3 linked regions of the Anolis sagrei genome follow. Each later gene encodes a partner of the first gene's protein in a complex. Links are inferred from orthologs where the notes say so. Each region holds a gene or a part of one and is shown on either strand. Other genes may lie near its edges.

Region 1 (7,978 bases):
AGGGAGCTTTGAAATGGTTGAACAAAAACTCTCCAAAGCTTTAGGTTCTCTTACTGCCTTTTACAGGGAAAACTGATTCCTAATCCATCCAAAACACAGACATATGCTTTTCACCTTAAGAACAGACAAGCATCCCGAACTCTGAGGATGACCTGGGAAGGAATCCCACTGGAGCATTGCAGCACACCCAGACACCTGGGAGTGACCCTGAACTGTGCCCTGACTTACAAGAAACACTGCTTTACCAGCAAGCAAAAAATGGGTGCTAGAAATAATATCGTATGGAAGCTGACTGGCACAACCTGGGGATCATAACTAGACACAGTGAAGACACCTGCCCTTGCACTTGGCTACTCCGCTGCTGAATACGAATGCCCAGTGTGGAAAACATTACACCATGTCAAAACAGTTGATGTGGCTCTTAATGAAACATGGTGCATTATTGCAGGACGTCTATGCACTACACCACTGGAGAAATTATACTGTTTAGCCGGTATTGCACCACCTGATATCTGCCGGGAAGTAGCAGCCAGAAATGAAAGGACCAAGGCAGTGACATCTCCAGTCTATCCTCTGTTCAGATATCAAGCCAGCATGCCAATGCCTTAATTCAAGAAACAGCTTCCTAAGGTCTACAAAGATACTTGCAGGAACACCTCAGCAAGCGAGAGTCCAAAAGTGGCAGGCTAAAACCCAGCACCTTAATTAGTGGCTGAGACCAAATGAGAGACACCCTCCTGAACACACAGAAGACTGGGAGACTTGGAAGGCACTGAGCAGGCTGTGCTCTGGCACCACGAGATGCAGAGCTAACTTTAAGAAATGGGGCCACAAAGTTAAGTCCATGACATGCGAGTGTGGAGAACAGCAAATCACAGACCACCTATTACAGTGTGGCCTGAGCCCTGCCACATGTACAACGGAGGACCTTCTCACAGCAAAACCAAAGGCATTCCAAGAGGCCAGCTTCTGATCAAACAACATTTCACATAATGTATTGTTGAAGGCTTTCGTGGCTGGAATCACTGGGTTGTTGTGAGTTTTCTGGGTTGTATGGCCATGTTCCAGCAGCATTCTCTCCTGACGTTTCGCCTGCATCTATGGCAGGCATCCTCAGAGGTTGTCAGACCTCACAACCTCTGAGGACGCCTACCACAGATGCAGGCGAAACATCAGGAGAGAATGCTGCTGGAACATGACCATACAGCCTGGAAAATCACAACAACCCATTTAGCATCATGCCACGTTTTTTTTTTTTTAAAAAAAAACAACTTTAAATGCATTTTAACTGTACCCTCAATGTGCTTCTGACACGATAAATTAATTGCTCTTTCGGCAGGAAAAGGCTCAAAAGCCTTGGAATACTACAACTTCACAGAATGGAGCACTTCAAAGAGTCATGCCCAAAGTTGCTGTTTGGAGACAAAATGCACAGAAAGGAAGATATGAAACAATGAGCATTTTGTGCACATCCGCACTGTAGAATTAATGCAGTTTGGCATCACTTGAACTCCTATAGCAGCGTTTCTCAACCTGGGGGTCAGGACCCCTAGGGGGGTCGTGAGGGGGGTGTCAGAGGGGTCACCAAAGACCACCAGAAAACACAGTATTTTCTGTTGGTCGTGGGGGTTCTCTGTGGGAAGTTTGGCCAAATTCTATCATTAGTGGGATTCAGAATGCTCTTTGATTGTAGGTGAACTATAAATCCCAGCAACTACATCTCCCAAATGTCAAGGTCTATTTTCCCCAAACTCCATTTGGAAATATTGAGTATTTATGCCAAGTTTGGTCCAGATCCATCATTGTTTGAGCCCACCAGTGCTCTCTGGATGTAGGTGAACTACAACTCCAAAACTCAAGGCCACTGCACACCAAACCCTTCCAGTATTTTTTTGTTGTATATGGGTATTCTGTTTGCCAAATTGGTTCAATTCCAATGTTGGTGGGGTTCAGAATGTTCTTTGATTGTAGGTGAACTATGAATCCCAGCAACTACAACTCCCAAATGTCAAGGTCTATTTTCCCCAAACTCTACCAGTATTCACATTTGGAAATATTGAGTATTCATGCCATGTATGTTCCAGATCCGTCGTTTGAGTCCACAGTGCTCTCTGGATGTAGGAGAACTACAACTCCAAAACACAAGGCCACTGCACACAAAACCCTTCCAGTATTTTTTGTTGTATATGGGTATTCTGTTTGCCAAGTTGGTTCAATTCCATCATTGGTAGAGTTCAGAATGTTCTTTGATTGTAGGTGAACTATAAATCCCAGCAACTACAACTCCCAAATGACAAAATCAATCCCTCCCCCAACCCTACCAGTATTCAGATTTTGACGTATCAAGTATTTGTGCCAAATTTGGTCCAGTGAATGAAAATACATCCTGCAAATCAGATATTTACACGACAATTCATAACAGTAACAACATAACAGTTATGAAGTAGCAACAAAAATAATGTTATGGTTGGGGGTCACCACAACATGAGGAACTGTATTAAGGGGTCGTGGCATGAGGAAGGTTGAGAAACACTATCCTATGGGTTTGTGCTATGGGGATCATGTGGGGGAATGTGGCTTGATGGGTCGCCATCAAACCAAAAAGTTTTGCCAAGCTGCAAGTGCTCTTGATGTCCATAGCTTTGCGCCCTGGCTCTCCAAGTGGTGCCAAAGCGCATTCCTTTGGGCTGTCTTTGGGTGGGTCTTTGGACCCCCCTCCCCTCTATTGATGCCTAGGTCTCCTCCCCCAACAACAAGGAAACAAGCCCCCGACTTTGCAAAGACTCACTCAGCCCCGAAGCCAGCGCCTGCTCGTTGGCCCACATGGCCCACTCGATGCGCCCCATGGCTGCTCCTCCTTTGGCACTCCGGAGGGAGAAAGGGAGGGGAAGGGGCGAAGGGGCCAGAGGGCAGGGATCCGGCCGGGAAGGGCTCCCAGCAGCAGGGCAGGGCTAGTCCGGGCCGCCGGCTACGTCCCTTCCTGCCCCTCCTTCCCTTCCTTTCCCCCCGGTTTGGAGAAGAGAGACGCAGAAAGAAGAGGCACCCGACCTCTCCAAAGGCGCAATGACTGGGGCAAGTTCCTCTTTCCTCTGCCTCCTCCTACAAGGCGCAGAGAACTTTTGCAAAGTTTGCCAAAGAGAGGGGAATCCCAGAGATGGGAGGGACCTCCAAAGGCCATCCAGTCCAGCCCCCTCCTGCCCTGAAAGATACAAGGCAAGCCTTAGCAACAGATGACTATCCAGTCTCAACTTCATGACTTCCAAAGATGGAGACTCCATCACCAGCCACTCCGTTGTGAATGTTTCCATCCTGAACATTAATCGACTCTTATATCCAGAAGGTTTCCTCCAAAGACCATCTACCAACTCCCTTTTGCTATACAGGAAGACACCACCCAAGCCCTCCTGACAGATGACACCATCCAAGCCATCCTGGCTGATGGTCATCCAGCTTCATGAAAAGAAGAGGCACCCGACCTCTCCAAAAGTGCAATGACTGGGACAAGTTCCTCCTATAAGGCGCAAAGAACTTTTGCAAAGGAACCCCAGAGATGGGAGGGACCTCCAAAGGCCATCCAGTCCGACCCCCTCCTGCCCTGCAAGGCACCAGCCAAGCCTTAGCAACACATGGCCATCCAGTCCCAACTTCATGACCTCCAAAGATGGAAACTCCATCACCAGCCACTCCATTGGGAATGTTTCCATCCTGAACATTTATCGACTCTTATATCCAGAAGGTTTCCTCCAAAGACCCTCTGTACCAACCCCCTTCTGCTATATAGGAAGACACCACTCAAGCCCTCCTGACAGATGACACCATCCAAGCCACCCTGGCAGATGGCCATCCAGCCCCAACTTCATGAAAAGAAGAGGCACCCGACCTCTCCAAAGGCGCAACGACTGGGAGAAGTTCCCCTTTCCTCTGCCTCCTCCTACAAGGCGCAGAGAACTTTTGCAAAGTTTGTGAAAGGAGAGGGGAACCCCAGAGATGGGAGGGAACTCCAAAGGCCATCCAGTCTGACCCCCTCCTGCCCTGCAAGGCACCAGCCAAGCCTTAGCAACAGATGGCCACCCAGCCCCAACTTCGCGACCTCCAAAGATGGAGACTCCATCACCAGCCACTCCATTGGGAATGTTTCCATCCTGAACGTTAATCGATTCTTATATCCAGAAGGTTTCCTCCAAAGACCATCTGTACCAACTCCCTTTTGCTATACAGGAAGACACCATCCAAGCCATCGTGGCAGGTGGCCATCTAGACCCAATTTCACGACCTCCAAAGATGGAGACTCCATCACCAGCCACTCCATTGGAAATGTTTCCATCCTGAACATTTATTGACTCTTCTATCCAGAAGGTTTCCTCCAAAGGCCATCTATACCAACCCCCTTCTGCTATATAGGAAGACGCCATCCAAGCCATCCTGGCATATGGCCATCCAGCCCCAACTTCATGAAAAGAAGAGGCACCCGACCTCTCCAAAGGTGCAATGACTGGGGCAAGTTCTCCTTTCCTCTGCCTCCTCCTATAAGGCGCAAAGAACTTTTGCAAAGGAACCCCAGAGATGGGAGGGACCTCCAAAGGCCGTCCAGTCTGACCCCCTCCTGCCCTGCAAGGCACCAGTCAAGCCTTAGTGACAGATGGCCATCCAGCCCCAACTTCATGACCTCCAAAAATGGAGACTCCATCACCAGCCACTCCATTGGGAATATTTCCATCCTGAACATTAATCGACTCTTCTACCCAGAAGGTTTCCTCCAAAGACCATCTATACCAACCCCCTTCTGCTATATAGGAAGACATCATTCAAGCCATTCCTGTATAGCAGAAGGGGGTTGGTATAGATGGTTTTTGGAGGAAACCTTCTGGATATAAATGTTCAGGATGGAAACATTCCCAATGCAGTGGCTGGTGATGGAGTCTCCATCTTTGGAGATCCTGAAGTTGGAGCTGGATGGCCATCTGTTGCTAAGGCTTGGCTGGTGCCTTGCAGGGCAGGAGGGGGTTGGACTGGATGGCCATCACCAGCCATTCCATTGTGAATGTTTCCATCCTTAAAATGTATACTATAATGTATTTGAAAGGGTCCCCCAAAGGCCCTCTATTCCAACCCCCTTCTACCATAAAGACACAATCCAAGCCCTCCTGACAGATGGCCATCCAGCCCCAACTTAATGACCTCCAGGTATGGAGGCTCCCTAATTAGCCATTCCATTCTGAATGCTTCTATCCTGACAATTTATACAATCATATATCTGGAAGGCATATTCCAAAGGCCAGCCCCCTTCTGCCTTGCAAGACATAGTCCAAGCCCTCCCAACAGATGGCCATTCAGCCTCTGCTTGGAAACCTCCTGAGAAAGCGACTTCACTGGGTTCCCAGGCATATATTCCGTTAGCACTTGAAGGCACCCCAAAGGCCATCTATCCCAACCTGAGAATCGCATTGGCCTTTTACGCTGCTGCATCACTGTCTTGACTCTCCTCAATCCCTTTCATTTGCATTGTTTCCAAGCCTGGTGTCCCCCATCCTATACCTCTGCAATTCAGTGATGGTATGAGTGTTAATTTTGCATCTTTATAAGACAGTATTTCTCAACCTGGGGGTCAGGATCCCTGGGGGAGTCATGAGAGGGGTTTCAGAGGGGCCTCCAAAGACCATCAGAAAACAAAAAGCCTTAGGAACCCTTTTGGCAGAAAAGGCTGGCGATCTCTCCACCTGTTCTTCTCTTCCTTTTTGGTGTTGGTGAACTACAAATCCCAGAATTCAGAAACAGCCCCCACCCTATAAATATTCAATGTTGGCTGTTTATGTAATTTGTCAAGTTTGGTGAAGATCCATTGTGGACTGGGATCAGAGTGCTCTTTGATTGTAGGTGAACTGTAAATCCCAGCAACTCCCACATATCAAGGTCTATTTTCCCCAAACTCCACCAGTGTTAACATTTGGACATATTGTGTATTTGTGCCAAGTTTGGTTCAGATCCATCATTGTCTGAGTCCACAGTGCTCTCTGGATGTAGTCGAACTACAACTCAAAAACACAAGGTCAATGCCCACCAAACCCTTCCAGTATTTTCTGTTGGTCAAAGGAGTTCTGTGTGCCAAGTTTGGTTCATTTCTATCGGTGGAGTTTAGAATGCTCTCTGATTGTAGGTGAACTATAAATCCCAGCAAATACAACTCCCAAATGACAATATCTATTTCCTCCCAACCCCACCAGTATTCAAATTTGGACGTATCAGATGTTTGTGCCAAATTTGGTCCAGTGAATGAAAATACATCCTGTTTACATTACGATTCATAACAGGAGCAAAATTACAGTTATGAAGTAGCAACGGAAATAATGTTATGGTTGGGGGTCAAGACAACAAGAGGAACTGTATTAAGGGGTCGCGGCATTAGGAAGGTTGAGAAACACTGGTATAAGAGAAGCAAATCCCCAAAAGAAAACACCAGAGTTCGGATGAAAATTATCGACTTTCACTTCTTTTTAAAAAGCAACCCAGTAAAAATGAAACCAAAGTTGGGGGAAAAGGACAACTGCATTCTCCAGGAGACTTTGTGCAAAGGGAAGAAAGGCAATAGGAAGGCTATCTGCTTGATTTTCTGGAAAAGGAAGTCCCAGAGTTTTCTCTAGTAAGGCAGAAGGTTTCAAAGGTTAGAATGGATTAAAAATATTGAGAGATCAACAGAGAAAACTACAGCCATCCACGTGCTGCTGGATGACAACTTCCATCCTCCTTTGCAGAAGGGATGCTGGGAAATGGTGGAAGACGATGCCAAACCCTGCAATGACCATATATATGGATATACGAGGGGCGTTCATTAAAGATTTCCCCTGACCCACTTCTATTTATCACAGAACACTGAAACCGCCCATGTGCAATGATAGTCTCTATAGGTGACGTGCCAATTTACAACTCAGAACTGAGAACAGTCTTGATGTGACAGGTGCTGAAGTGGTGTGAGGTTTGAGAATGGACCCAGTGGCAGATAGAGTAGTCCTCAAGTTCCTTTTCTTGCAAGGCCACACACCAAAGGGGACGTTTGATGAGATGAAAGAGGTTTATGGGGATGATTCGCCATCATATGACGGATTCAAGAACTGGCATTGTCCATTCCATTGTGGACTGAAGAAAGGGCTAATTATATGAGTGGTGTTCAAGAAAGATTTCCCCTGACCCACTTCTATTGATCACAGGACACTGAAACTACCCATGTGCAATGATATAAGTCTCTAAAGGTGACATGCCAATTTACAACTCAGAACTGAGAACGGTCTTGATGTGACAGGTGCTGAAGTGCAGAGCAGTCCTCAAGTTCCTTTTCTTGCAAGGCCACACACCAAAGGAGACGTTCAATGAGATGGAAGAGGTTTATGGTGATGCTTCCTCATCACAAGATGGAGTCAAGAACTGGCATCCTTGGTTCCAATGTGGTCAGACTTCGGTGCAAACAGCTCCAATTCTAGGGCGACCGCACTCTGCTCTTGATGAACACACCATCCAGCAAGTGGAGGTCACCATTTTGGAAAATCGCCACGTAACCATTCGCCACCTAGCCCAAAATGTCAAGATGAGTGTGGGGTCCGTGGAAAAAAATCACCCAAGACCATCTTCCCATGCATAAAGGATCCACTCGCTGCGTCCCCAGCTGCTCACCTTTCCAGATGCAGGAATGAGCCGAATGCTCGTTGTGTCTATTGTCAATGATGTGCCATGGAAACCAGAAGGACTTTTTCAACAGACTGATCACACAAGGTGAAAGCTGGGTCCATCACTCTGACCCTGAGACTAAAGTCCAGTCGATGCAATGGAAGCATCCTGACTCCCCGCCTCCAAAGGCACGTGCCCAACTCTCATCAGGCAAGGTCATGCTCACAGTATTTTGGGACCAGCACAGAGTAGTATGGGTGGATTTCCTAGCAAAGGGGACCAGGATCACTGGGGCAGACTAGGCTTCATTGCGGGAGGCCAT
Region 2 (7,967 bases), on another chromosome or scaffold:
TGTGGAATTGTATTGCTTTAACTGTGCAAAGGAGCCCCAGAGTTGCAAGCAAGTGATATCCACAGGCAAGCTGCAAGCTCTTACTGAGCTGACTTCAGCTTATGGAAAAGGACATGGTTTTGAGTCACAGCCAAATAATACTGTCAGGAAGGAGATGAATAGTCTTGCAAATGTCCTCCACCCACGACAAGCTATCCCAGTAAAAGGATGTTATGTTCCATAGGGCAATGACTCCCCAGATCCACCACTCAGCACAGCCAACAGCTGCTTTGGTCAACGGCTGTGGCGTTGAGGTTGAGGTAGGGCTAAGCCTTTGGCCTGTTGTAAACTGGTCATGTTCTCAAAGTGTTGGCCTCCACTTGAAATACCCCTTTCCACTACTTTTTGCCCAGAGGGAGTTTGCGAGATTTTGTGATTTATAGGTAAAGAAAAGAGAACATTCTCACATGCTGCTTATTTCTTTCAACAAAACATAGCAGCATTGTACTAAGGCTCCCAATAATAATAATAATAATAATCATCATCATCATCATCATCATCATCATCATCATCATCATCATCTTTATTTATACCCCGCCACCATCTCCCTAAAGGGTACTTGGGACGGCTTACATGAGGCCATGCCCATCAATACAGAAACACAATATAACACAAAAACATAACTGAAAATCAGAAAATAAAATAACATAAAGTACAAAAATACAAAATGTAAATATACAGCACAACAATATAAAATCAAAATATTAAACCACTAAAAATGAACACAATGGACAGGGCCAGTTCAAAGATTAAAAAATTAAAACACTGGGAGATAGGGCAGTGTAAAATATCAGGAAGGGGATCCGGGGGATAAGGTAAGAGTTCATTGCACAAACCAGAGAATAAAGTGTGTCTGAGGACATTTTATGCAGAGTTTGGTCAGGGACAGGGGCGGCTCAACCCATTACACAAAGTAAGCATTTGCAGTATAGTTGATTTTGCCCAGGGGCGCTCTTTAGGCGCTCTTGGGGGAAAATAGACCTTGACATATGTGAGTTGTAGTTACTGGGATGTATAGTTCACCTACAATCAAAGAGCATTCTGAACACCAATGATGGAATTGAACCAAATATGGCACACAGAACTCCCACGACGAACAGAAAATATATATCACTGATTGGTTGAGGGGGAGGGCAAAATACTGTTTGCTTACCATTGAAAATTGCCTAGGGCCGCCTCTGGTCAGGGATTATCATACATTCAGTCATTGAAGGCACATTGGAACAGCCAAGTTTTCAGGCTCCTCCTAAAGATTTCCAGGGTGGGGGCTGGCCTAATATCTCTGGAGAGTGTATTCCAGAGCCAATGGGCCACCACAGAGAAGGCCCTGTCTCTCGTTCCCACAAGTCATGCTTGTGATGAAGATGGGAGCGAGAGAAGGGCCTCTACGGAAAATCGAAGAGGTCGCATGGGTTCGTAGACAGAAATATGGTTGTGCAGGTAGGCGGGCCCCAAACTGTTTAGGGCTTTGTAGATCAAAACCTGCACCTTGAATTGGGCCCGAAAAATAAATGGCAGCCAGTGGAGCTCCTTAAACAGGGGGGTTGACCGCTCCCTGTAGCTCACACCAGTTAGTAGTCTGGCTGCCGCTCGTTGGACCAGTTGGAATTTCTGGGCTGTCTTCAAGGGCAGCCCCACGTAGAGCGCATTGCAATAGTCCAATCTAGAGGTAACTAAGGCATGGACCACCGTGGCCAAATCTGACTTCATGAGATACGGTCATAGCTGGCGCACGAGCTTCAATTGTGTGAAGGCCCTCCCAGCCACCGTCGACACCTGAACTTCAAGCATTAGCGCAGAATCTAGGAGGACACCCAAGCTGTGGACCTGTGACTTCAGGGGGAGTGCAACCCCATCAAGAACAGGTTGCCACCCTATAAGAAGTTATGGGTGAGTGGAGGGGATCACTCTGGGAAAGGGGGAGCCCAAGGTCTCACTATACATAAAAAGCAGTCTGATGACAAATCCCAGACCTACTGCTTCCATGCTACAAGCCGGTTTTGTTTCTGGACTGGAAACTGTTGGTCAGGAGCAGGGTATTTCTCTTAGGGCTACACCTATCTCTTGAGTGTCAGCTCCTGGCCTCTAGCCTATGCACACTGACATCAGGAATTAGATCTCCACAGGTCACAGCAGCCTTGTGCATTTATGGCTTATGGCAAATGCTTCCAGAAAGACAAATGCTTTCATTTTCCCATGCAAAATGAATAGTCACATATGCTCTTTACCATCATCAAGCAGAGAAAGACCAGCCCCGACGCAAGGTCACAAACACCTTGTTTTTGTTTCATTTGAGAGCTTGCTGCACTGTGCTAGCTTTTAATCCAACAGATTCAACATTTTTGTTTCGTATTTTTGGAGGTCACTTGCATTTAACAAAGCAGTATATGAAACATTCATCAGAACCAAACTACATAAAGTGGTCATGGACCACTCAGCAAGGGATAACTGTATTCTGGCCTTGATTCTGTCATCGATGATGCCACACAGAAATAACACATATTCCAGAGTAACATTTAACTGAAACTATCTTTTTGTGGCACTTTTTGTTAAATGTTATTTTTCTGCCCTTGATGTCTTGGATCAATCTTCCCCCTCATGCTTGCATGGCCACTCTAAAAGAGATATGGACATAGAGCAAGAAAGAGCATGCAACCCAGCCAATAGGGTATTAGAGGAAACAAGAAGTTCATCCAAAGCTCAGCCCTTCCCCCACTCTCCCCTGTGCCTCAAAGGCATCATACATACCCATCTCCGACCACCACACACTTGATGGCTTGCATATCTGTGGCCTGGCGATGCTGTGGAGTTCAGCAGGTCTCTCGAATAAAGGTAACAGCTCACCAACGTTGCCGGCAGGAAGTGTTCTACAGTTATATCAAAACCAAAGCTGAATTGAACAGCAGGTTGTGGGTTAGGGAGGAAAGGGAAGAGAGAATGTTTCTCAACCCGCCCACTAGTCCCCAAGGCAGCCCTGACTGTGTGCTGGGGGAAGGGTGTGCAGCTTCAAATATATTTCTCTCTTTGCATGCTGCAGATAGCTAAGCACTTCCTTTTTCATCACACTGTGTGGCTTAGTCTTTGGACACTAAAAAGAGGTTGCAATGCAGTTTCTACACAGGAAGGAGAACCATCCAGAGGAGCAGAAGGAAAGTGGGAGAAAGAACAAACCCCAGAAAGAGATATTTTCCCTCTTTCTCTTTCAGTTGAGAAGAAGATGGCTGGGTGAGAGTGGCTTGCCATTATAGCTGTCTCTGGAGCCTTGGTGAAGAAACACCTTTTCTTCTCTTGTCAAAAGAAATACATTTCTTTTTTAAGATACAGAAAATTACAGTTTTTAAAAATCGTCCACAACATTGTCTCATATTTCCATGAAACCCAGGTGTGCCCATCTTCCTGTGAATAGGTGGGATACACTGGTGGGTGTACATGGAATGCTTTGAGTGGTTCATCCTTCCATTGCTGCCAGCAGATTTGCCCTTGCTGCCATTTTTGCTACTGCTTTTTCTGCCACTGTCCAACACACAACCATTCTTCTTGGAAATAGGAAACTTTGAAAGCATTACACATAGTTTTCTTTTTTTCAGAAGTATGCTTCATACTGTAGTTGCCATGACATGAACTACAACGGGGCCAGTTATCATAAGGGGGAATTCCTCTCCTATTGCAATCATTGTATGCATAATTTCTAAATAGGTTTACTTAGAAACAAGTAAAGCAAACTTAGGAAACTAGCCTTGTGCTCTTCATATTCCATGTTTCCCAGTATAAATGTTGGAATTTGGGCAGCACTAGCAACAGATGTTTTGGTAGTGGACATTCAAGGGAGGGAGAAGAGAAAATGTTTGCATTGTAACTGCAGGCTACATGCTGTCCATCCCTGCTTTAATTTAGGAATACTCTTACTTGCAGTAATACCAGCCCAAGATATGTTGGTCCCTGCAAAGGAAGACCTGGTGATGTCCTCCTAGTCCATATACAAAAGGTGAAAGGACTGGCAGTTAAATCTTATTACTACTTTGGTGAAGGGAAAATCTGCTTCATTCCAGTTGAGTACAGCAACTTAGCTTAGAAGGAATCCCACTGGAGCATTGCAGTACATCCACATACCTGGGAGTTACCCTGGACCACGCTCTGACTTACAAGAAGCACTGCTTGAATATCAAGCAAAAAATGGGTGCTAGAAACAATATCATACGAAAGCTGGCTGGCACAACCTGGGGATCACAACCAGATACAGTGAAGACACCTGCCCTTGTGCTATGCTACTCTGCTGCTGAGTACAAATGCCCACTGTGGAACACATCTCACCATGTCAAAACAGTGAATGTGGCTCTTAATGAAACATGTTGCATTATCCCAGGATGTCTATGCCCTACACCACTGGAGAAATTAAGCTGTTTAGCCGGAATTGCACCACCTGACATCTGCTGGGAAGTAGCAGCCAGTATTGAAAGAACCAAGGCAGTGACATCTCCACCCTTTCCCCTGTTTGGATATCAGCCAGCATGCCAATGCCTCAAATCAAGAAATAGTTTTCTAAGATCTAAAGAGATACTTGCAAGAATACCTCAGCAAGTGAGAGTCCAAAAGTGGCAGGCTAAAACCCAGAGCCTCAAGCCATGGCTGATACCGAATGCGAGACTCCCCCCTGGGCACCCAGGAGACTGGGCAAGCTGGAAGGTGCTAAACAGACTGCGCTGTGGCACCACCAGATGCAGACCCAACCTTAAGAAATTAGGCCACAAAGTGGAGTCCACAAGATGCGGGTGAGTAGAAGAGCAAACCACAGACCACCTATTACAATGCTTTCTAAGCCTTGCCATATGCACAATGGAGGACCTGCTTATAGCAACACCAGAGGCACTCCAAGTGGCCAGTTACTGGTCAAAGGACATTTAGTATAATGCCAAGTTTTTTAAACTTTGTGTTTTAAAAATATATTATACCTGAACCCTCGGTTTGCTTCTGATACGATAAATAAAATAGCTTAGGGTGTACAGGCCAGATTGTGTGGCATGTACAATTCTGTTATTTAACACCTTTTCGCGAGCAACCACTGCCTGTGGTGGTTTCCTCAGCCCAGTATTAAGGCTAGCCTTGACCAGACCCGCTATTCAATAGCCTCTAATGACCTTAACTCTGCACTGTAACATTTCAGCAATCATAGCAAATGAGATACAATTATCATAAGGAAATCAGAAAACCAGCATGCAAGGAAGCAAGAGAGACATGTTACCAATGAGTCATGGAATCATCCACATATCCTACTGTCATACCCAGTTTATATGCATCCATCAGTTAACAAATTCCATAAAAAATTAACCCTGTAATCACAATTACAACTATCACAGCAATTTTCTTTGTCATCTTGTCACATCTTCACAGAGGCACCCTTTATAATTTCCTTGTCTGACACACTAGATAACTAATAATTAGTAAATAATGATACAAAAGAAAGCAACAGGATCACTGTATTTGGATCAACGCATTCACTTTGCTGCCATCATGCATGATTTGTGCCTTGGATGGTCACCTGCTCTTCATTAGAGTCATCTGTTTGAAGGTGCCCTCCACTATTTGAAGATCATCTCAGTCCAAATCCATCTTCCACACATAACTCTACTGGAAGAAGACTTGAAGTTCCTGGATAGCAGATTGAAATTTGTGGTTTTGTGAGATATTTAACCTTCTCTTCCAAATCCCATGAATCCATAGGATGGGGCCGTGTCATTTAATAATTTTGCAGTGTAGCTGGTCTATGTTTCCTTTTCACTGTAGTTGAGATATAGTTCTATTTAAATTGTACATCCCCAAATAAATTAACATACTGTAGATACTCCTGTATAAATTGACCTCCTGTATAAATAGTTGTGGCCATACAACCATTCAAAAATTCCAGAAGTAGTTCCAAGGCACAGAGCTTAGAGTGGGTCAGTTCTTCTTTTAGGTTCTCCTGGAATGAACTAAGCTATTGTTTTTTGCCTCTCTGCTTAGAGAAGGGGGTGGTTGATTTTCTGATATGAGTTAAGCTACAGCATTCACATTGTTGTTGTTCATTCGTTCAGTCGTCTCCGACTCTTCGTGACCTCATGGACCAGCCCACGCCAGAGCTCCCTGTCGGCCGTTACCACCCCCAGCTCCCTCAAGGTCAGTCCAGTCACTTCAAGGATGCCATCCATCCATCTTGCCCTTGGTCGGCCCCTCTTCCTTTTGCCGCATTCACATTAACCTATGGATAAATCAACCCAGTTTTTCAGTTGATTTTTTATTAAAATTTCTAGACTTATTCATGAGTATATACTGTAGGATATGTATGTAGATTTTATGCAAACCTGTGATCCATTTTTTGAGTTAGGCACTTTCCCCTTTTATGTTAGCAGCTGTGGCCCTCTAGATGCTTTTGGACTACCATTCCCTTCAACCCTAGCTAACAACAATAAGGGGTTATGGTAACTGCAGTCCAAAAACATCTGGAGGACAACAGTTGTCAACCTTGATCAAGATGTTCACACACCTATCAGACCTAGAAGACAAAACAGCAAGTCTATGGTGCAAAGAAGGGGCATCTTGGAGCTTTATTTATTTAAAAAGTGATGTGCTATATTTTACCATCAGTAACATTACATCAGGAATTGCTTGGTTATTTCAATAATGGCTTTCATTAATCACTACCATGCCCTACTTAACATTTAATTATCACATAATTAATAATTGCAGTTTCATTTTATATTAGCCAATAATTGCCAAACAGACTCCAGGTCCTCTGTCCATTATGAATCAGTTGTAGAGTCATGGGAAGGCAATATTGCCACTGTGGAAATAGATAATGGCTTTAAATACCACGAGGTTGACAAAGCTTTTCACAGCATTCCTGCTTTCTTGGGAAAAGGGGCAGGAATGTAAAAGATAAAAATGGTAGGGATGTAAAAGATACAAAATAGCAGCAATTCACAAATGGCAAAGTACATGAAATTAAGAGAGCCAAAATCCACGGCAGTCAGTCAAACATAAATCCATAAACATAAAAACAGGAACTTTTTCCAAGCAAACCCTCCCAGGAATGAGGGCAAAGATAGAAAATTTGATTCATGGCCTCCACATATCATGTTGCTGCTGGTGAACAGGTGGTGGACCTGAAGTGAGAAACGAAATTCACTGGGGCCTGAGGCCACTATTGCTGGCCCTATTCCTACACTCTGCTTTTTGGTAATGGTGAGATCAGGTCATTGCCAGAACCAAGGGTAAAAGTATAAGTCTTTACATAGTCACTGGGAATGTGGTACCTGATGTTATGTGTTTCTGCCCCTTTGATCAACAACTAACAATGGCTGCAGAATATGTGACCTTCCAGATGTTAACATGCTGCCTCTTCCATAGTCCCCCACCAATGGCCACTTAGATGGGTTTGATAGGGATTAGTATCCAATATAAGATTGACAGGGAAAAATAAGGGTTGTCAAAGCAGAACTGTGTTAACATAAAGCGTGTAAATACACTGCACATGAATCACAAAACAAAACTGAATGTTACTTAGTTATCTTGTAGTCCTTGAGACAGTAAATTATCTTCAAATACTGTCTAAATTAAGTCCAAATGATATCCAGTTCAAAATATAATCCAAATGATGATACGACAAGGATCCCCGGGTTGAGGTTGCCTTGTTTCGGGGGACTTCACCTTCTTCAGGGTTTGTCTTCTTTTTGAAAGTGGGTGGTTCACACCATACATCCCTAAATGGGTGATAACAACAACATAATAGATATGCCAAAAAAGGCACCCAAACAAAAAACATTCAGTGATAATAACATGCATTCCAGTGAGATAGACTACACACACATTATTACTCGTGCTATAAATGAGACAACGCTGGCCCTACAGTAAGGTCTTCATTAGTGAGCAATGCAGTTACACAGAAGCAAGAATTT
Region 3 (7,445 bases), on another chromosome or scaffold:
GTATTGTGTCCAAATTTGGTGTCAATTTGTCCAGTGGTTTTTGAGTTATGCTAATCCCACTAATGCTAATATTTTTCCATTTATATACCATAAATGGAAAAATAGAAGTAACATTTGGGAATTTGATATGAAGGAGGGAACTGGTCTGCCACATTAAATTCCCAATTCTTTTAAGAAAGAGACACATACACACAGAAATAACTTTCACGGTTTTGTGTGGGCAGCTATGTCTCTCTCTGCATTAAAAAACAGCACTGAGCTGTACAATTTATATGGATCCGAGAATCTTCTGTTGGTACATGCTGGTACATAAGGTTTGCAAAATAGGAAACTAAACATAGCACTGTTCTAACAGATTAAGGAGAAAGTGGTTGCAAGGATGAACAACAGAATAAGAAAACATTCCGCTCCTTTTTTAAGGTGCCCAATATGTTACAACTCACTTTTCCATCTGGTACGCCACAATTCCTCGCTGGAAATATGCCACTGCTAAGTGTCTGTCATTGTTGGTACTCCTGGTAAAGGCCTGAAGGAAGCAAAAATAATACCTCTTGAAAAGTATTATAGATACAGCAGTTTGGGACTTCTGGGTTGCCAGGCATTGCCAGCACAAACTGATGGGGCACAATCTATATAAATAAAAATGTAACAGTCGTTTGTGGTATTAACATAACTCAAAACCCACTGGACGAATTGACAACAAATTTGGACAGCATACACCTAACAACCCAATGTATCCTTCACTCAAAATTTTTTGATTTTGTCTTTTGGGAGTTGTAGTTGCTGGGATTTATAGTTCACCTACAATCAAATAGCAGGATAGAATTGAACCAAACGGGGCATAAAGGACTCCCATGAAGAATAGAAAACACCAGAAGGGTTTGGTGAGCATTGAGCTTGAGTTTGGGAGTTGTAGTTCACCTATATTCAGAGAGTACCATGGATTCAACCAATGATGGATCTGGACCTGGGCCAAACTTGGCACAAATATTCCATATGCCCAAATATGAACACAGATGGGGTTTGGGGGAAATAGACCTTGACATTTGGGAGTTGTAGTTACTGGGATATAGTTCACCTACAATCAAAGATTGTTCTGAACCCCACCAATGACAGAATTGGGGCAAACTTCCCACACAGAACCTCCATGACCAAGAGAAAATACTCAATGCTATCCAGTCCAACTCCCTTCACCAGGGCAAGAAAACATAATCAAAGCCCTCATGACAAAGAGCCATCCAGCCATAAATATAGATAGATGTGATTCACACACACAGAGATATAGTATCATAGATTTGAAAGGGACTCCTAAAGAAGGACAATATGTTGCATGTTCCAGAGTAGGCAAACCAGACAATCTTCACATTAACACTGACAAAGAAACAATAAGAAATACTGTTTACCCACAAGCATAAAAAAATTACATATATTAGAAACCAATGCTTTCTCATTACTTTATTTTCCAGATCACCAGACTGGGCCACAGCAAGGCCTGGCAGGGGACGGCTAGTCTATATAAACAAGCCACGAGAACAAGCCATGAGAGTCAAGACAAAGATCCACCCTGAGGAAAAGTGTTCTTGCAATATATCAAGGGAACCACTGACCGCATTGGGAAGCTGATGAGGAAACACAACATACAAACTATCTACAGACCCACCAAGAAAATCCAGCAAATGCTACGTTCAGCAAAGGACAAGAGGGATCCTCTCACTTCTGCAGGAGTCTACCGTGTACCATGCAGCTGTGGACACGTCTACATAGGGAGCACCAAACGCAGCATTGCCCAGACACGCATCAAGGAACATGAAAGGCACTGCAGACTACTTCAACCAGAAAGGTTAGTCATAGCAGATCACTTGATGAACCAACATGGACACAGCATATTATTTGAGAACACAGAAATGCTAGACCACGTCACACTACACAGAAGAGCCATTGAAATCCACAAGCATGTGGACAATTTCAACAGAAAGGAGGAAACCATGAAAATGAACAAAATCTGGCTACCAATATTAAAAAACTCTAAAATTACAACAGCAAAACAACAGAGAGTAAACAATCAGGCACATCTAATCACCTCTCAACAAAAGATTCCCCCAGGCACTGCCAAGCCATCAAATGCTAATCAAGGTGGTCAGTTGAAACATTCACACCTAGCTCCAGCAGACAAGAGTTTTGTCCCACCCTGGCCATTCTACAGATATATAAACCCATTTTCCTACTTCCAACAGACCTCACTATTTCTGAGGATGCTTGCCATAGATGCAGGCGAAACGTCAGGAGAAAATGCCTCTAGAACATGGCCATATAACCTGGAAAAACCTACAACAACCCAGTGATTCCGGCCATGAAAGCCTTTGACAATACATTGAAACCAGAATGTTTCGCACACCCCTAAATCTGTTGTAACCCCCTGCCATTTGAAAATGAAAAAGGAAATAGAGTAGGAACAGGGAAGGAAAACAAGTAAGTTTAGCTAGCAGTCCATATTTTTTTGGTCATTCACCAATCAAACCAAGAGCAGGTTGTTGCAGGTTTTTTCGGGCTATATGGCCATGTTCTAGAAGCATTCTCTCGTGACGTTTCGCCTGCATCTATGGCAAGCATCCCCCGAGGTTGTTAGGCGAAACGACGGACTTCTAGAACATGGCCATATGGACCGAAAAACGTACAACAACCCAGTGATTCCAGCCATGAAAGCCTTCCACAAACCAACAGCAGCTCAGAAATCCTGACTTAATAACAGGGACACAGCTAACCTGTTTTTAAATGGCTTCTTTTCCCATCTCTCCCTACTAGTTCCATGGAAGGACTCCTGCAGCCATCCAGGTTTACTTGTTGGGCTTGTTAAGCTGCTTTTGGGGAGAATATTTCAGTTTTCTTGGCCACCTACCTGCTGTGCCTCATCCAAATTCCCCATGACCAGGTGGGTGCAGCCAATGTTAAAGCAGATTTTGGAGGAAGGATTTGGAACCGAAGTGAAGGCAGACAGAGCAGCCGGCCAGTCTTTGCGGTCAGCTGCAGACACCCCTTCACTCCACAGTCGAATTGTCTCTACAAGGGCCATGGCCAAACTGGAATCTATTCAGTTGCAAGCAAGGGGCTCTCACAATCCACCAGGCAAGCTCCCCTTGCACATCAGGTATGCATTCTGCTCCCCCTCTCGAAGCTCACCAGTGTTGCAATTGCAAACAGACCAGGAAGTCTCATCACTGAACTCATAACTGAAAGAGGGGCCAGGCTTGACAGAGGAAGTAATGCCACACGGGCTGGAAGATTGCCCAAAGAAGAAGCTGCTTTCAGGACAGAGCATTGTCTGTGATCCTCTGCTCAGGTTGCTTGCACTGTCTGACGTTGACTTCTCATCATGCGACTGCAGTCACGCCTTCCTTTTTCTGAATTTCACTTTCCATAAGAGTCTTAAAATAAAATCATTGGGCTTCCCTTTCATGATGTGTTAACTCGGGATCTGTCGTGAAGATTTCAAGAGTCAAACCCGGCCTCTCTGTGGTAAGAAGCTATACATAAAAAGGAAGCTGTTGCAGGATTGCTCAAGTTAACATCTTTTAAACACAAGTGAAGTCGAGCATGTCCGTCCGTCCCCCCAATAAGGGATGGTAACTTATAGTTCTGCAAAGGGCAAGGGTACCAGATTGCACAAAGGGGTTAAGTCTTGGTCAATTTGTCAAAGACACTAACAACAACAAGGACCCCATGAGGCTTTCAGGGAAGAGCCTGGCCTTGAGGCCCCAGTCCTTGGAGGGAGTTATAGTTTTCCAAGGACTAAGGACCAGCTTGATCTTGGCGCTGCAAGAATCCCTTCCTTGGCTCAATGGAAATCACCCAGCTCCTTTTCTGACTATTGGACTTCCTACACATCATTTTTGGCTCTAATGAACTTATTTTCACGTTTGAACTTCCCCAGTATGAACTATGGACACATGTTTTATCAAAATTATTATTTTAATCAATTTCTCTGGCGGGCAGGAAGACCCGGATAAAGTAATCAACAAGACCCATCAAAAGACAATAGACTGGCATCCTTTGCAGGCTGAAGTCTCAGACTCAGGATTCCCCCAGGCATGAAATCCATTAATCCATTCATGAACCCATTGTTTCTTCTTCGTCCCACCTCCCCTCTCCTGATTCGCCGGAGCGCTGAGGCGGTAGGAGCTCTCCAATTGGTTCCTGCACAGCGGAGGAGCTCTGTAGTTGGCTTTGGCCCCCTCCCAGCTGGAATCACGTCAGCCAATCATCAGGGCGGAGGGCGGGAATTTTGAAACTTCTAAGCCTGTAAACCTTATTATAAAAATGTCTCTGATCTTTGTACTGGCATGATTTGTAGGCGAATGATTGCTACATTGCATCCTTTTCAGCTGAATCACTAATAAAAACACCTCAGTGCCACTTCTTCAACTTTGGTGAGATTTATTTTGAATTTTTTAATTTAATAAATTGGCTGAAATCAGGCTTCTCTAGCTCGCCAAAGTAGCGATCCCTCTTTGGTGGGGTCTCAGGGTCCCTCCTCCTGGAGACGACCCTCCTAAACTTCCTACCGACTTCACAAGCAAGTTGCCCAACTGGTACTTCCATAGAATACTATTATCTACTTTTTTGCTTGTGAGTTGGATTAACAACTAGCCCACCTCCCAAATTCTTCCTCTCTTAGGCAATCCCTCATTGGCTGAGTAGGATAGTCTTCCAGGATCAGTGTTCTGGTGGGTCCGTAGGTGACTGTGGAGCCCTATTCTTGATCTGCATCTTCTCCCACAGTGAGGGCATTGGTTTCCAGGTGGAAGGTGGTCTTGGTCGGGGTTGGCTTGATGCACCTTCCTCTTGACACGTTTCTCTCTTTCGCCCTCCATTCATACTTCTTCAAATTCTACAGCACTGCTGGTCACAGCTGACCTCCAATTAGAGCGCTCAAGGGCCAGGGCTTACCAGTTCTCAGTGTCTATGCCAGAGTTTTTAAGGTTGGCTTTGAGCCCATCTTTAAATCTTTTTTCCTGTCCTACATTCCGTTTTCCGTTCTTGAGTTCGGAGTAGAGAAACTGCTTTGTGAGATGGTGGTTGGGTATTCGGACAACGTGGCCGGTCCAGCGGAGTTGATGGCAGAGGACCATCGCTTCAATGCTGGTGGTCTTTGCTTCTTCCAGCATGCTTCTTCCAACATTTGTCCGCTTGTCTTCCCAAGGGATTTGCAGGATTTTCCGGAGGCAGCACTGATGGAATCGTTCCAGGAGTTGCATGTGACGTCTGTAGATAGTCCATATCTCACAGGCATATAGCAGAGTTAGGAGGACAATAGCTTTATAAACAAGCACCTTGGTATCCCTACGGATGTCCCGGTCCTCAAACACTCTCTGCTTCATTCAGAAAAATGCTGCACTCGCAGAGCTCAGGCAGTGTTGTACTTCAGTGTCAATGTTGACTTTTGTGGAGAAGTGGCTGCCAAGGTAGCGGAAATGGTCGACATTTTCTAGTGTTACACCATTAAGCTGTATTTCTGGCATTGGAGAGGGACTGGCTGGTGACTGCTGGAAGAGCACTGGTTTTCTCGATGTTTAATGACAGGCCGAGCTGCTCGTATGCTTCTGCAAAGGTATTTAGAGTGACTTGTAGGTCTTCTGAATGCGCACAGACAACGTTGTCATCAACATACTGGAGTTCTATAATAAATGTTGTTGTAACCTTGGTTTTGGCTTTCAGTCTGCTGAGGTTAAATAGCTGTCTGATAGATGATTTCCACTCCGGTGGGAAGCTTCCCATCAGCAAGATGAAGTATCATAGCTATGAAGATGGAAAAGATGTGTTAACTCAGGATCTCTAGTGAAGATTTCAAGAGTCAGTGATGGGTCAAACCCGGCCTACCTGTGGTAAGAAGCTATATATAAAAAGGAAGCTGCTGCAGTATTGCGCAAGTTAACATCTTTTAAACACGAGGTAATCGACAATATTTGCTTTGAACTGGATTATCTGAGTCCACACTGCCATATAACCCAGCTCAATGTGGATTTTATACCAGTCTGAGGGGAAACAATCTCAGAGTCGCTAGTAAAGGACTTGATAAAATAGTGTAGAGACATCACACTGGCAACAAAGATCCGCATAGTAAAAGCAATGGTATTCCACATAGTTACCTATGGATGTGAGAGCTGGACCATAGGGAAGACTGAGCGAAGGAAGATAGATGCAGCCAGAGAGACGCAGCCTAGGCTCACTTGTACCCTCAATAGCAACAAAATGGAGGGACGGCGGGCGTTTTGCGTCCCAAGAAAGAGGCCTATTTGGAGAAGGGCCTGTTGAAAGGACAAAGGGCCTCATGGATGCCGTAATTCTGAAACAGACCATTGCTGACAACCAACAGCCGAAGTCAGCCATGCCGGTTTTGAGGCCAGACTCGTAGGTGTTTTGGACTCCCAACTCCCACAGTTCTTAACAGCCAGTAGTGAAGTGTCCTGTTCTAAGCCTGTCTAGAAACATCCTGCTCTTCTACAGGGTAACTCAGTCCTGTCAGAAGAACAACAACAAACATGGTGTCGATGGAGAGACGCGGCCTAGTCCCACTTGGAGCCTGGGAGACATTGAAATAGTGAGGCAGCGTGCCTTTAGTGGCCAGAGAGATGTGGCCTTGTCCTACTTTGGAGCCTGGGGTACAGGGAAATACAGTGGACCTTTTGCAGCCAGAGAGACGTGGAAGAGAAGGCTGAGAGGAGATATGATAGCCATGTATAAATATGTGAGAGGAGGCCACAGGGAGGAGGGAGCAAGCTTGTTTTCTGCTTCCCTGGAGACTAGGACACGAAACAATGGTTTCACACTACAAGAAAGGAGATTCCATCTGAACATGAGGAAGAACTTCCTGACTGTGAGATCCGTTCAGCAGTGGAACTCTCTGCCCCAGAGTGTGGTGGAGGCTCCTTCTTTGGAAGTTTTTAAACAGAGGCTGGATGGCCATCTGTCAGAGGTGCTTTGAATGCAATATTCCTGCTTCTTGGCAGGGGGTTGGACTGGATGGCCCATGAGGTCTCGTCCAGCTCTTTGATTCTATGATGCTTTTGAACTGTGGTGTTGGAGGAAATTCTGAGAGTGCCTTGGACAGCGAGAAGATCCAATAAAGCCTGACTGCTCATTGGAGGGAAGAATAGTAGAGGCCAAGATGAAGTACTTTGCCCACATCATGAGAAGAAAGAAAAGCTTAGAGAAGACAATGATGCTGGGGAAAATGGAAGGAAAAAGGAAGAGGGGCCGACCAAGGGCAAGATGGATGGATGGCATCCTTGAAGTGACTGGATTGACCTTGAAGGCAGAGGTGGCCCTAGGTAATTTTCAACGGTAAGCAAACAGTATTTTGCACACACACACACACCCCCGCCCCCAACCAATCACTGATATATATTTTCTGTTCGTCATGGGAGTTCTGTGTGCCATATTTGGTTCAA

What was found.
Region 2: CYBA (region 1) and RAC2 share a complex: the UniProt entries of both Homo sapiens proteins name them as parts of the phagocyte NADPH oxidase complex. The link is inferred for Anolis sagrei from reciprocal best matches to the Homo sapiens genes CYBA and RAC2.
Region 3: CYBA (region 1) and NCF2 share a complex: the UniProt entries of both Homo sapiens proteins name them as parts of the phagocyte NADPH oxidase complex. The link is inferred for Anolis sagrei from reciprocal best matches to the Homo sapiens genes CYBA and NCF2.

Annotation. Positions count from the first base shown.
Region 1 is NC_090028.1:26,681,232-26,689,209, forward strand, and holds the start of CYBA (cytochrome b-245 light chain), read right to left. Parts: upstream 3,071-7,978; 5' UTR 2,847-3,070; coding exon 2,789-2,846; intron 1-2,788. UniProt on the Homo sapiens protein: Subunit of NADPH oxidase complexes that is required for the NADPH oxidase activity that generates, in various cell types, superoxide from molecular oxygen utilizing NADPH as an electron donor.
Region 2 is NC_090025.1:165,897,680-165,905,646, reverse strand, and holds the start of RAC2 (ras-related C3 botulinum toxin substrate 2), read right to left. Parts: upstream 3,035-7,967; 5' UTR 2,823-3,034; coding exon 2,788-2,822; intron 1-2,787. UniProt on the Homo sapiens protein: Plasma membrane-associated small GTPase which cycles between an active GTP-bound and inactive GDP-bound state.
Region 3 is NC_090024.1:122,473,247-122,480,691, reverse strand, and holds the start of NCF2 (neutrophil cytosol factor 2), read right to left. Parts: upstream 3,098-7,445; 5' UTR 3,071-3,097; coding exon 2,897-3,070; intron 527-2,896; coding exon 444-526; intron 1-443. UniProt on the Homo sapiens protein: Subunit of the phagocyte NADPH oxidase complex that mediates the transfer of electrons from cytosolic NADPH to O2 to produce the superoxide anion (O2(-)).